Xenopus tropicalis: one gene and its partners. The protein of the gene in region 1 purifies or fractionates together with the protein of each later gene. This does not show direct contact. Links are inferred from orthologs where the notes say so. Each region holds a gene or a part of one and is shown in the gene's direction. Other genes may lie near its edges.

Region 1 (4,280 bases):
GTGGGGGGAAAACAAGTGCAATATAGAGCAGGAGCTGGTAACCCCCTGTTGCCACCTGAGTAAGCATGTGAGACTAAAGAGAGATGACAGTTGAGTTGAGTGGGGAAGCTGGGGTGACCAGTGTTACACAGAGTATGCAGCCATGCATATAAGGGAATATGTTCTTACCAAACTTATAAGGGTGCACCCTTAGTTTTCATGCACAGAGCACTTGAGGGAATAGCTCTTGTACACCTCATGGCGCATAAAAATTGAATAAATGATGCACAATTTAGGGAACGGTCTGGGGGGAATGCCTACATGCCTCCCGTTGCCCTCCCCTCATGAATACAGTGCTTCTAAACAGAGACGGCACTGTATTCATGGGGATAGTCACAGGTCCCTTTGTTCTGAAACAGAGCACAGAGACTTGTGGCAATACAACAGATAAAGGCAGTGTGCAAAGTCTGAAAAATGTCTGCCTTCCTTGATGTAAATATTATGCAACAAATAAACTTATCTCCTGGTTCCATTCCAGATTTCCACATAGAGTTTAATGGAGTTTTCTTGTGCTAAATGTTTCTTATCAAACTCAATCTGACCCAGTGTATCCATTGCAATATGGATTTGTGGATTTATTAAAGCATGGGGAGTGTGCTCAGTAGGAGCTGAAGCTGCTGCTGTGCAGTGTATAAAATAATGAATCAAACTGTAAGGAAGTCAGCATTCTGCCCTACTTACCTGCTACTGGGAACCCTGAGAAGTGGGGGAAAAACTAATTCATATTTAAAATGTTAGTAAATTAGAAAATAGAATGCACTTAAAAGAAATTATTATTTGTGGTGTTCTGTTTGACACCCCATTGAGCAGCACCGCTGTTCTTCCCCCTTTTTGCTTTGTTATAATGCTGACATTGGCATTTAATATACATGCATGTGCCCTATTCTGAATGTGTATTATGCACATTATTTTAACTTCTATAATTGGCAATTACTGTGAGCACTTAGAGAGCAGTAGGGGGCTTATACAGTGCTGCAGGCAAACATTTAACCCATGCATTGTCAAACAGCGTACAGTGAGCCTGGGACAAATAACATGATAATATATAATAATGTAATTATTCATAATGGCTCTGTCGGGATTATATGTTGTGGAGTGGCTATGAGGGTCTGTTCTTTTGCTATTCACTAATACTACTTTACTGCGATTCATTAAACCTTCCTTAATATTTTCTTAATAGGTTCTCTAATCATATATCAAACCACGTTTAATGAAACATATGCACAAAATATAGGGCATTTTACTAAGAGACTGGAAGTAGTGAGGCCAGTTTTCAGAGACAGTTGCTGGGTGGGGCATGTTCAAATGATGAAAAAGGGATGGGTATGTCAGGGCCTAGGGGAACTGTAGATGCAGCTGTTGGAGGGGAGAAAATGAAATGCAGGGAAGGAGAGACTGTTGTGTATGTGGATAAAAGGTGAGGATGCTTCTAGAGTAGACATGGAAAGGAAGAGGTTAAGAGTGGAGAATTTCCTCTAACACAGTAGTGAAAGGTAACATATTAGTGGGAAACAAGTGCAATAACGATGTGCTGCTTTCTGGTGTTCTAGAATTTCTATTTTGCTGCTGAAATTCCTGTTTTTTGCTTACAACAATGAAAGCCACACACCCTTTTACTTAGAACAATACAATAGTATTCCATTATTCCATTCCATTTTGTGATATGAACAAAATGGCAATCGTAACAAGTTTTGGGCCAGTGATTCTTGCTTTTCTTTGTGTTTACAAATGTATCTTGGCACAATTGTGCAATGTCACACCCAAAATAACCTCTGAGATTGGCAGATATCTGTGACACCTCAGACACACCTAGGTTCTGGGATTCCAGGTACACTCATATTTCATCCTGTTGACAAACAAATTGCATTTTGCAATTAATGTGAAATAAAATTGGGTGCAATGAAAGGGAGACTTCCATCTGCATTTATTCCCTAACCATGCGTTAACATTCCTAATATCATGCTGCCACTCCCAATTTGCACACAGAAGCCTTGATGTGTCTAGTTATACCCATTTGGATGCATTTGCTTATTGACTTGGCAGGTCAAGCCTTAGGAATGTAAATCCTGTTTGGGTCAGTTAGGGATTGTCACACAGTATAAACAAAGCTTTAGAGAGTTAAAGGGTTAATGCCTTCATAGCTTAATTCTCTGTTCCCCCTACTTGGTTTGAATGTTCTTTTTTGGTGGTGATCACCTAGTGCAATATACAAACACCATGACTTGGTGCATCAGTAGTTGAAATTTTGTAACCGATTACGGTACTGACCAGTATCCAAAGTACATGGATATCAGTCTGGCTTGGAGGGGCAACATGTGTACCAATAGTCATTCGAAACAGCTGTTGGTAAATATACAGTTTAAAGGTGATCCAAGTCCAAAAACTGTTTTGTTTTTTTGTATTATATAAAACAAAAATTGCCTTTAAATTCAGAGGACTTGTCCTGTTAATGTTTTTATATTTAAATTATTCCTACAGTAAGAAACTGGCATGATGTGAAGATTCATGGCTCATCAGAACTTCATCTTATCTACTTACACGGACTGGAGAAAGAAGGCTGTATACCACAGTTGATAATACCGACTCCAGTATCCATGTCATACAGTCATGAGAGGTAGGTAACCACTAGGGCTTCATTATTGTGATAGTTAACACATCTATTTCCCGGACAAACAAATGTAAAATACTTTTGCAACTTAGTGAAATTCTTACTTTTAAAAATTCTGAATATATTTGATATATTCACAGTTGGGGATTAAACCCTTTCCTTGCCAACCCTCACAGCTGCATGACAAAACTGAAAGTAATTCAAAAAGTATAAAAAAATTAAATTTGAAGACCTGTTCAAATTTGTCTTAGAATACCACTGTCCATATTGCATTAAAATTTACAATCGAAGAATGTTATCCTGACCTACGTAAAGTGTCATATGAGCTTTGTTTTTCAATACTTTTTCTATTCTGTAGAATTAAAATGAAAAGAAATGTTTGTTCTATAAAGAATATACAAAAAAAATATAATATCAAAGGAGCTGTAAACCCAAATGTAAACTTTTACATAATGAAAGCAGACAATTTAAATTAACCTTCTGATATACATGAGTGATGTTAAATTTATTAAAAAAAGTCTGAAAGGCATTGCGGGTAATGGAGTATTGGCTGTAGGAGATCATGTAGTCAGAAACAGCTGTGCAAAGAATGCACAAATACAGATAGATTAGAAACTGCTTTTAGTAGCAAAGTATTGAAAACATCATTGGAAATTTGCAATTTGTGCATATTGGAAAATTACTTAGAATATAGTTGCCTATTATTGTGCAAAATGTTTTTAAGCATCTCAGTGTCTGCCATTGCCACCCACAGAGGTCCAGAAGGCACTAAACTTGTACAGCAGTGATGTCCTAGCCACCCCGAAACCAGCAGGGGGGGCAAGTTCAAGCCATAAAACTACATCCAATTGGCAACTGAACTCTGTCCTTGGCCCACCCTGTCTGTGACATCATTATATCCTGCTTTCACCTCCAGTTGTCACTATATTTATATATTTGCACCTGCATAGCCCCCCTTCCTTTTTTTGATGTCACAAGTGGGGTGGGGGCAGTGTGGGTAATAAGTATTGATAGCACAACATGTCAGGTAGGGTTCGGGTTGGGAGCGGTCTGGTTAGGTCAGGTGTAGGTTGTCTTTTTGTCGAAGCACACATCACTATTGTGCAGAGCTGCCTGATCCCAGGAATGAACTAGCCAAATGGAAGTTACAAATCAGTGCTGCTGCTCCAGAGAACATAAGATGGCCATACCTGCCTAGATTTCAAGCATAAACGCCTAACCATCTAGGCACGTATAGACATTGGAAGGGCAGCTTAAAATGATATAAGATTATAGGAAAACTTCTGCGGATTGGCTAAAAAAAAGTGAAGTGGAGCCACAGTTGTCCTCAATGGACAGAACAATGCAAGGGTGGTCACTCTCACATCCATGCTACCTGCAGCCCAACTGGTCAGTTACCATGCAAGCCTGGCCCATAATTGTACATTTGATCTGGGGTGAAAAATGTTTCTCATACAATGTCTATGTTTCCAAGCTGCAGTTTTGTAACTATGGTGCCAGTATTTTTATTATTTATTGATTAGTTTCCACTAAAATATGTACAAAGCAATTCTAAATGTATAATTAGAGGCTTGGAAACTTAAGCTGGCCATACATGCACCAATATAATCCGTTTTGTAAGGTTTTTAGACCG
Region 2 (4,775 bases), on another chromosome or scaffold:
AGATAGATAGATGATAGATAGATAGATGGATAGATAGATATATAGATAGATAGATAGAGGATATATAGATAGATGATAGATAGATGACAGATAGATAGATGGATAGATAGATACATAGATGGATAAATAGATAGATAGATGGATGGATAGATAGATAGAGGATCTATAGATAGATAGATAGATAGATAGATAGATAGATAGATAGATAGATAGATGATAGATAGATGATAGATAGATAGATACAGAGATGATAGATAGATATGATAGATAAGAAATAGACAGACAGGTATATAGAGAGATACTAGATAGACGATATATATATATATATATATATATATAGATGATTGATGAGTGATAGACAGACAGACAGACAGACAGAGAATATAACTGGGAACTAGGGTTGCCTGACGAAAGTCTTAGGTAAGGACTGAAACGTTGGAAATAAATCTCACCGCTTGCATCTGAAAAAGCCTTTATTGTTTTTGTGCTTAGATGATTAAATCCTATGAGTGCCGACACTTTTACTTGGCTGGAGATTTTCTTGCTCTGGCACCGAGGTTTAGTGCCATTATTTGGTGTGCTCCCCACTCTGGACTCTATATATATAGATAGATAGATAGATAGATAGATAGATAGATAGATAGATGATTGATGAGTGACAGACAGACAGACAGACAGACAGACAGAGAATATAACTGGGAATTAGGGTTGCCACTTAGCCCTACAATTCATGCTGGATCTCACTGTCAATAATAGGGAAAAAAGATAAATATATAGAAAGACCTGTATTTTTTCCCACAAAAGGTGTAAACTTTACATGCGACACACACAGGGGAATACCAAGCAGTAGTGAGAAGGTTGAATAAGTTCTAATTAATGTGAAATAAAGTGATAAAGCATAAGCGGGTAGCAGTTTAGGGGTGTTGGGGGGGCAGGGTACTGGGGGGGGCCCGGAGTGTTGGGGGGGCAGGGTACTGGGGGGGCCCGGAGTGTTGGGGGGGCAGGGTACTGGGGGGGGGGGGCCCGGAGTGTTGGGGGGGCAGGGTACTGGGGGGGCCCGGAGTGTTGGGGGGCAGGGTACTGGGGGGGGGGGCCCGGAGTGTTGGGGGGGCAGGGTACTGGGGGGCCTGGAGTGTTGGGGGGGCAGGGTATTGGGGGGCCCCGGGGTATTGGGGGGGCAGGGTACTGGGGGGGGCCCGGAGTGTTGGGGGGGCAGGGTACTGGGGGGCCCCGGGGTATTGGGGGGGCAGGGTACTGGGGGGGCCCGGAGTGTTGGGGGGGCAGGGTACTGGGGGGGGCCCGGAGTGTTGGGGGGGCAGGGTACTGGGGGGGGGGCCCCGGAGTGTTGGGGGGGCAGGGTACTGGGGGGGGGCCCGGAGTGTTGGGGGGGCAGGGTACTGGGGGGGGGGCCCGGAGTGTTGGGGGGGCAGGGTACTGGGTGGGCCCGGAGTGTTGGGGGGGCAGGGTACTGGGGGGGGGGGGGGCCCGGAGTGTTGGGGGGGCAGGGTATTGGGGGGCCCCGGGGTATTGGGGGGGGCAGGGTACTGGGGGGGGCTCGGAGTGTTGGGGGGCAGGGTACTGGGGGGGGCAGGGTACTGGGGGGCCCCGGGGTATTGGGGGGGCAGGATACTGGGGGGGGCGGGGTATTGGGGGGGGAGTCCTGCCCCACGTGGGGTGGAAGTGCCCTGAGTGCACACTGGGCTGAGCCTGTGAGTCCCGGCAGTTCCCACACTGTCCCGGCCTGAGAGACACGAATCCCGGGGCTGGCACAGCTCTCTATCCCTGGCACAGCTGCCCCCCCGCCCAGGGACTGCCTTATAAGCACAGCGGCTCGGATGTGGCGCACAGCCCGGTCTCACGATGCTCAGGTGAGTGCGGAGCCGCTTAGGCCGCAGAAGCCTCGGACTTTCCTGAAACCGGCACCGCGCTCGGCCACTCGCGTTGGAAGTGTTAGTGGGGCAGCGCGTTAGGGGTAGGGGGTTCCCAGTCGGAGGGTGGATACTGGGGGCTTATTGCCCTTTCCTCCTTGTGCTGTTACTGTACAACTTTATTATATACCTGTTTGCCTTATATACATGACTGCCCTGTGTGTGGCCTTACAGTAGAGGCCCCTAGCAGTGTATTGGCCCCCTAGCAGTGTATTGGCCCCTAGCAGCGTATTGGCCCCTAGCAGCGTATTGGCCCCCTAGCAGCGTATTGGCCCCCTAGCAGCGTATTGGCCCCCTAGCAGCGTATTGGCCCCTAGCAGCGTATTGGCCCCCTAGCAGCGTATTGGCCCCCTAGCAGCGTATTGGCCCCCTAGCAGCGTATTGGCCCCCTAGCAGCGTATTGGCCCCTAGCAGCGTATTGGCCCCCTAGCAGCGTATTGGCCCCTAGCAGCGTATTGGCCCCCTAGCAGCGTATTGGCCCCCTAGCAGCGTATTGGCCCCCTAGCAGCGTATTGGCCCCCTAGCAGCGTATTGGCCCCCTAGCAGCGTATTGGCCCCTAGCAGCGTATTGGCCCCCTAGCAGCGTATTGGCCCCCTAGCAGCGTATTGGCCCCTAGCAGCGTATTGGCCCCTAGCAGCGTATTGGCCCCTAGCAGCGTATTGGCCCCTAGCAGTGTATTGGGGGAAGAATTGCTCGTTTAGTGACCTCGCCAGACAAACAAATCTTACTGTGTATGGCCACCTTAAGGGTGAAGACACACAGAGCTACTTAGTAGCAGCTACACGTCACGGCTACTAAACATCAGAAAATCCCCTGCCAATCTCCTGACAATACTGAGAATTGCTTATAGCTTCTGATGAAGTGGCGTTGAGCCATGAAACGCGTTAAGCTGGGGGGGTTTCAGTTTCTCAATATGTTTTTAATGGAAGCAAGAAATAAAGGATAATTTTTTACTGAAAAAGTCGTCCTGGCGTGCTCCATCCAACAATGCTAACTTTTCTGCAGTACTGAGAATTGCCTTTGCTAAGGGCCGTTACAGACGGGGAGATTAGTCGCCCGTGACAAATCTCCCTTGTCGCGGGCGACTAATCTCCCCCAAATGCCATCGCTGGTGGGATGGCATACGCGGCGTGGCGATTTGCCTTGAGAGGAAACTTTGGCACTGTGTATGCTATCCCACCGGCGATTTACATTCTAGCTGGTTGGATGGCATTTCGGGGAGATTAGTCGCCCGCGACAAGGGAGATTTGGTGCGGGCGACTAATCTCCCCGTCTGTCACGGCCCTAAAACACACATAGAGACAATTATCAGTAAATGATCAGCATTGTCTATTTTAGTAGCCGTGACAGGTAGCTGCTACTAGTAGCTCTGTGTGTCTTCACCCTAAGGGCTCTGGCACACAGGGCGATTAGTCGCCGCAACTTTTTGATAATTTGCGGCATCTAATAGGTGAGATGCAGTTGTACTCTATGCGCAGAAAGTCGCAGCAATTAGTCGCCGCGACTGAGTTAATTAAAACTCAGTCGCACCGACTAATCGCCTCGTGTGTCTTTGGCGTAAGTCAGTAAGATCTGGGCACCTTATGGTATCAGTGACGTGCGGACAGGACATATAAACCCAGATATTATGACATAGCCCATTGGGTCCTGGATTTAAGCAAAGCCCTTATAACTATTGGCACTGCTGGCGCTAGTGTTAAGTAGTGTATCTATCTGGCAATGTCTATAAAATGTCCCATCAAATAAAGTGTTTACTTTCCCTACAGCCCAGAGGAACTGCTTGCCGCCAGGAGCCGTGAGAAGAGCATCCCTCAGCGCTCCCATGGGCAAAAGGACTTTCTGCCCGACGGCTCCGAGGCTCAGAACGAGAAGCTGCGGCTGTGCCGCGCCGAGCAATGGGAGCTGCTAAAAGAGGAGCGTGTGGAGCGATTGTGAGTGTTTAGGGGTGCCCTCCATGTGTAGGGAAAAGGGATATTCAGGGTGGATATATATATATATATATATATATAGCAAATTATGTGCACTTCATTTGATAAGGTTACATGCCTAGATGCAGGAGTCTACTGGAAATGATAGAACAATGTGTAACACTGCACTCACGGGTCTTTAGTGAAAAGCAAAAAATCTATTTATTAAATCAATTAATTTCTTTTTTGCTTTTCACTAAATACCTGTGAGTGCGGTGTTACATGTTGGCCTATATACATATATTTATTTATATATATATTGTTGCTATCTGGTAGTGATTAAACTCCGTATTGTTTGCTTGCACTAGTATTGTCTGTGCCTGGTTTATAAATACCTCATTAGTAACAGGAATTACCTCTCTTCCCCATGTTTTGTCTGGCTGCCTTAGAACAACAGCTGATCTACTCTCCCTAGCATTTCGGGTAGCTTTTAGAACTGGATCATTTTACTCACATAACCCATCAGGATGTATTCTTTCACCATTTTGACCTTGGTAAAAATTGCTGCCTCTGTGGTTACTGACTCGCTCGCTCTTCCTGCCAGCCAGGCCTGGACTTGGACCCCACTGTGGGGGTCTCTGGGGTGGCAGCCCCGGTGGGCTCTGCTCCCCCCAGTCCGACCCTGGATGCCAGCTTTAAAATAGGGAGCAATAGACCCAAAGTTTATACAACGAGGACTAGGTACCCCTGGAGGTGGGTTGGGATTTCACTTTTGGTGTCATTATCATTGTTATCTTATTGGGCATTGCATATTAAATCATTGGAAAGGCTTAAGGTACCCATACACTGGCAGATTGTAGCTGCCAATATTGGTCCCTTAGACAGATTCGGCAGCTTATCGGCCCGTGTATTGGCACTACCAATGGGCCTGCCCGACCG
Region 3 (4,992 bases), on another chromosome or scaffold:
AAAGCCGGGGGATGTTGGGAAGAACGCTGGGGGGAGCTGGATGATGTTGGGGAGGATGCTGGGGGGAGCTGGATGATGTTGGGGAGGATGCTGGGGGGAGCTGGAGTATGGTGGGGAGGATGCTGGGGGGAGCTGGAGAATGTTGGAGAGAAAGCCGGGGGATGCTGGGAAGAACGCTGGGGGGAGCTGGATGATGTTGGGGAGGATGCTGGGGGGAGCTGGATGATGTTGGGGAGGATGCTGGGGGGAGCTGGAGTATGGTGGGGAGGATGCTGGGGGGAGCTGGAGTATGGTGGGGAGGATGCTGGGGGGAGCTGGAGTATGGTGGGGAGGATGCTGGGGGGAGCTGGAGTATGGTGGGGAGGATGCTGGGGGGAGCTGGAGTATGGTGGGGAGGATGCTGGGGGGAGCTGGAGTATGGTGGGGAGGATGCTGGGGGGAGCTGGAGTATGGTGGGGAGGACACTGAGGGGAGCTGGAGGATGTTGGGGAGGACGCTGAGGGGAGCTGTCATTTTATTTGTATTTATTTTGATTATTGAAACTTAGCAGTAGCGGCTGCATTTCCCACCCTAGGCTTATACTCGAGTCAATAAGTTTTTCCAGTTTTCTTAGGTAAAATTAGGTACCTCGGCTTATATTCGGGTCGGCTTATACTCGAGTATATACGGTAATCAAATCTGTAAAAAATAGAGAAATCTTAAAATGAGTCCATGTATATACAACCTATCCCAAATGCTTAAAACATTTTCCCCAAAGGATACTTTGTGCCCTTTAGCACTTATTATTGTTACTTAGTACTATTTGTGCCCTATTAATGGGATTACGATAATCGTTAATTATATATATATATATTCTTTTCTGCAGATATAAAATTTAAATGAGGAATTGTGCAGTACTTCAGGGACAGGTCATTTTTTTCCCTGGTCTAGGGTTAGTTTATTCAGTAACACGTTACCTTTAGACTTTAGCGATTTCCTACTACTGACAATATTGTACAAGGTTATTTGTTAATTTGTTTATTTTTTTTTTATTGCAAGTTTAAAAGGGAAAGTAAACCTTTAAAATTTTCCTTTGCTGATCTGTTTGTGTCCAGAACCACAGAAAGTCTATACAGATATTTCTGTGTAGCGCTGTAGTGATTATTGAAAAGTGTTATTGAGGGTCTAGGCATAAAATGATACACAAGGTTCTATAGTGCTTGCTAAACACAGCACAAAAAATGCATCATACTCCAACATTTCACCAAACAAAAAACCTGCAGCACACCCCAAAACTCCCCACACCCTGAGGATCAAAAAAGTACACTCCAAAATATCCAATCATATGCCAAAATTTTCATTTTCCCTACAGAGGAAAAAAAAACCCCACCCCAAACCCCATACAAAATGTATAAAATGTACACCTCTTCCACCCCAAAAAAAAAAATATTGAGGGCAACATCCCTCAGAATGCCAATACCTGTAAATAAATGAGACCCACAGGCTCCACTTAATGCATCATCTAACAAAAAAATCCCACTATAAAACTGATTCAACTCTAGTATCCCTCAAGCGCACCCCCAAACTCACCGAGCGCAGCAATGGCAGAGCTTCCACAAGAAAAACAACCAAATAGTTCAGTCCTATAGTCACTGATCATAGCACCTACTCAAGTGTGTCTCACTGCACTCCCCCAATACACACTGACCTCTAAGCCCGACACTCACTCATTTATTTATTTATTCATCCATTCACTCACTGAAAGACCGTATCCCACTGAGTTTATTTTATATTATTTACTTTATAAATAATACGTCCATAACCACCCAGAGGCAAGCGGCCCCTTGGCACTAGCAGCGAGCGCCTCTGGATACGGGATGTGACGTGCAGTCTCGCGAGATGAGATTGTGACGTCTGAATTAGTGGCCAGCGTGAAGACAACGAGCGAGACTCTAACTGAGCTGAGGAACTTTTAATCGGAGATTTGGCACTGCGGCCTGGTGGTATGCTTTCCTCTGTAGTGCTTGGGAAGGAGTCTCTCTATTTGCATTTCCTTACATTTACAAGTAGAGTAATTCCATCTAGTTTATTAGGTATTTTATGGTGCGCATAAAGGGTAGAGGATCGCCGATTGAATAGAAATTGTAAACTTAAACGGACCGTATACCACATTTCAAAATAGGTTTAATTAAAAAGTCTGAACATGCTTTTTAACTGTTGTTTTGATAATTAAAAATATATATATATATTTTTTTAGCTAAAAAGTGAACTTGAAGTTACTCAATGTTTAGAGCAAACCTTTTTCATTAAACCCATGTTGGATTTACTGCCCCTTTAAGTGTTTGACAGTTTCAAGGTTTTTGATGCTAAGGTGTGGGTGGGAAAACACAGTTAATCCATAGGTGTCTACTAACGGGGTTATAGTACTGTCTTGCATATAAAAGGCAATTGACTCAAGGTATACAAACATCATATCATTTTGCATAGTTAGAAATCACTGGTGAGGCCTCACCTTATGCTGTGCAGTTTTGGGCCCCAGTACTTAAGAAGGATATTAATGATGTGGAAAGAGTGAAAAGATGTGCAACTAAACTGGTAAAACAAATAAAACCACAGAATATGAAAGTAAAATCTGCTGCCATTTTGGGCAGGGTAGTAAGTTTTATACCAATTCCTTTATTCCTTGACAGTGAAAGGGCCCTTGGACACTATTGTTTAAACTTTGCCTACTGTTGCCTATACAGAATTGTTATCTAGCAAGTGATATAGGGTGGTGTGATATGACCCTCTGTCTCATTTTTATTTCAGATAGCCTGCTTCATTAAATCTTCTCCCAAGAGCATGCTGTTCTTTCAACTTTAAAGCATACATTACATGCATTGTACATTAATTATTTCCTTGGGAGCACACCTGAACAGAGTGCTCCTAGAAGTTTTCTTAGAATGTACTACTGTTAATGCCGCTGCTCCAGAATATATGCGTGCTGCACTAATGTATGTTTTCTGTGGCTTACACACAATGCACAACTGGCCAAGTGTACACAGATATAGAAAATCAATTTGCCCATTTTTGTGTGTAGTGTTATTTTTGCCCTAAAATGTTTTATCTTCAGTTTAAAAAACTTGAGCGTTAATCATGCTGTGTAATTATTTCTAAGTTTTAAATACTTTATTGCAGTGTTAACTAACTTCTGTGGTACCGAGGGCCGGAATTTTTTTGGCCTACATGGTGAAGGGTCGATATTTGAAGCCAGTTTTGACCACTTCCCTTTTTTAAACTGCACCCACTTCAAACCACACCCATGTTATCATAAGAGCTTTTTAGGCCATACCCACATTAATTGGTGGTAGTGCAGCAAAAACCCAAATGGTTGGTGCTCACTGCAGGGATATCACCCTGCATTCTTATGTGAAAGAAGTTTATTAAGACATATCCTTAAATCCATATGCCTCCCCTGTGGATAGCGCAGCAACTCCCAGCACATAATTGCACACCTTAGGGACCATATAATGACTATTTCCAAATGCAAACAAACTCCCAGAACAATCCCCTGCCAGGTTCACCTCCCACAGGCAGCATAGGGCAGGCAAAGTATGGCACACACAGGCAGCACGGGCAGTCAGTACATACAGTGACACAATGCTGGCACTCTTCCTACAGTCTGTCTGAGATGTTAACAATGTGGGTTTTTACAGTCTGAGCCTGAGTTGTGAACAATGCAGGGACTAAAAGGTGTGAACAAAACAGGGTCTTAAAGCTGTGAACAATACATGGGGATTACTGGTATAAACAATGCAGTGAAAAATCTGCCATCACATCACCCAGGGTAGAGTTGCTGCAGCATCACTTTAAAAATTATCTTTATTGAATGAAAAGTGTATTTTCCAGATCTTCCATATATCATCTAAAGGTACTGGCTGACTAATAAAGTGCATATAAAAAGAAAAAAAAAAAATTTAATTATCTTCTGCTAGAATTGAGTTTATCAATCCTAAATAGGGACCTCTTGTTCTTTAATGTTTTCTATGTAAAAAAAAAAAAGCACTGTTTATATTGCCCTAATTTACTTGTAAAGAGTACTGGTACCCTTCCAAGCACCATTTCTCTAGACTTTCCTTGTGCTATCTTCCCTTTTACCTGCTTAGTTGCACATCTCTGCACCCTTTCTACGTTATTAACATGAGGCTTTTCCAGTGATCTATTAAGAGGCAAAATTACATACATATTTCTTCCCTTGAGTTAATTCCTTTTTTTAATGTAAGACTTTTTTTGCCTTAGTACTTCTTGAGTTTAGTCAAATCTCTCTGAAAAGTGGCAACATCCTGCTGCAAAATTGTTTTTCACAATCTAGTATCATCAACAAAAAAGTACTTCCAATGCTAACCTCAAAGTCATTAACTTTAGCTCTATGATTGCGGTCTATCTTTGGCTGTTTAGTATGTTTATTAAAGTACACTGGAGTGACTACCCTCAGGTCCTAGACCTTTGTTTATTTCACATGTTCTAGTCTCTTTTGAATTCCATCAACTAGCCATCCATAGTTAAATTATTAGTATTCAGTCTGTTAAAAAGGAAACCTTCATTAACTGGTTCCTTAGTTGTGTAAAAACATGAAAAATGACTGTGCTTTTACTTAACAATTTACTTACCTCTGATACTCTCACCATTCTTGCTTCATTTATAAATTATTTTGCACATCTAAAAATAATTTTGTTTTACTCCACTGCAATGCCCTTTCCTCTCTATTTTATCTTGCCTAATTAGTGTTTGCGCACTATATTAGCCTCTTTGTATCAAAGAAAATTTCCAGCTGTCCCAGCTAACCTTGGATCTCTTAAATATACATTTTTCTTTACCAACCTTTCCTTACTAACCCTTCTATCAAATCATAATAGTTTTGCTTTGCTATTTCTGTCCTTACTTACAAGGGGAATATACTGTCAGGTATATTAGTAAAGTAGCATTTTGAAGATATTTTATTTTCCTTTTTTGTTTAATCCTGTGAAAAGACTT

What was found.
Region 2: the proteins of tsen15 (region 1) and tsen54 purify together in Homo sapiens (affinity purification with mass spectrometry; 4 studies listed by BioGRID and IntAct, counting the BioPlex papers as one, with this or other methods). This does not show direct contact. The link is inferred for Xenopus tropicalis from reciprocal best matches to the Homo sapiens genes TSEN15 and TSEN54.
Region 3: the proteins of tsen15 (region 1) and clp1 purify together in Homo sapiens (affinity purification with mass spectrometry; 4 studies listed by BioGRID and IntAct, counting the BioPlex papers as one, with this or other methods). This does not show direct contact. The link is inferred for Xenopus tropicalis from reciprocal best matches to the Homo sapiens genes TSEN15 and CLP1.

What each region holds. Positions count from the first base shown.
Region 1 is NC_030680.2:120,012,800-120,017,079, forward strand, and holds part of tsen15 (tRNA-splicing endonuclease subunit Sen15), read left to right. Parts: intron 1-2,517; coding exon 2,518-2,653; intron 2,654-4,280. UniProt on the Homo sapiens protein: Non-catalytic subunit of the tRNA-splicing endonuclease complex, a complex responsible for identification and cleavage of the splice sites in pre-tRNA. It cleaves pre-tRNA at the 5' and 3' splice sites to release the intron.
Region 2 is NC_030686.2:44,545,615-44,550,389, forward strand, and holds the start of tsen54 (tRNA-splicing endonuclease subunit Sen54), read left to right. Parts: upstream 1-1,703; 5' UTR 1,704-1,860; coding exon 1,861-1,868; intron 1,869-3,695; coding exon 3,696-3,860; intron 3,861-4,775.
Region 3 is NC_030683.2:55,578,612-55,583,603, reverse strand, and holds the start of clp1 (polyribonucleotide 5'-hydroxyl-kinase Clp1), read left to right. Parts: upstream 1-1,920; 5' UTR 1,921-1,982; intron 1,983-4,992. UniProt on the Homo sapiens protein: Polynucleotide kinase that can phosphorylate the 5'-hydroxyl groups of double-stranded RNA (dsRNA), single-stranded RNA (ssRNA), double-stranded DNA (dsDNA) and double-stranded DNA:RNA hybrids. dsRNA is phosphorylated more efficiently than dsDNA, and the RNA component of a DNA:RNA hybrid is phosphorylated more efficiently than the DNA component.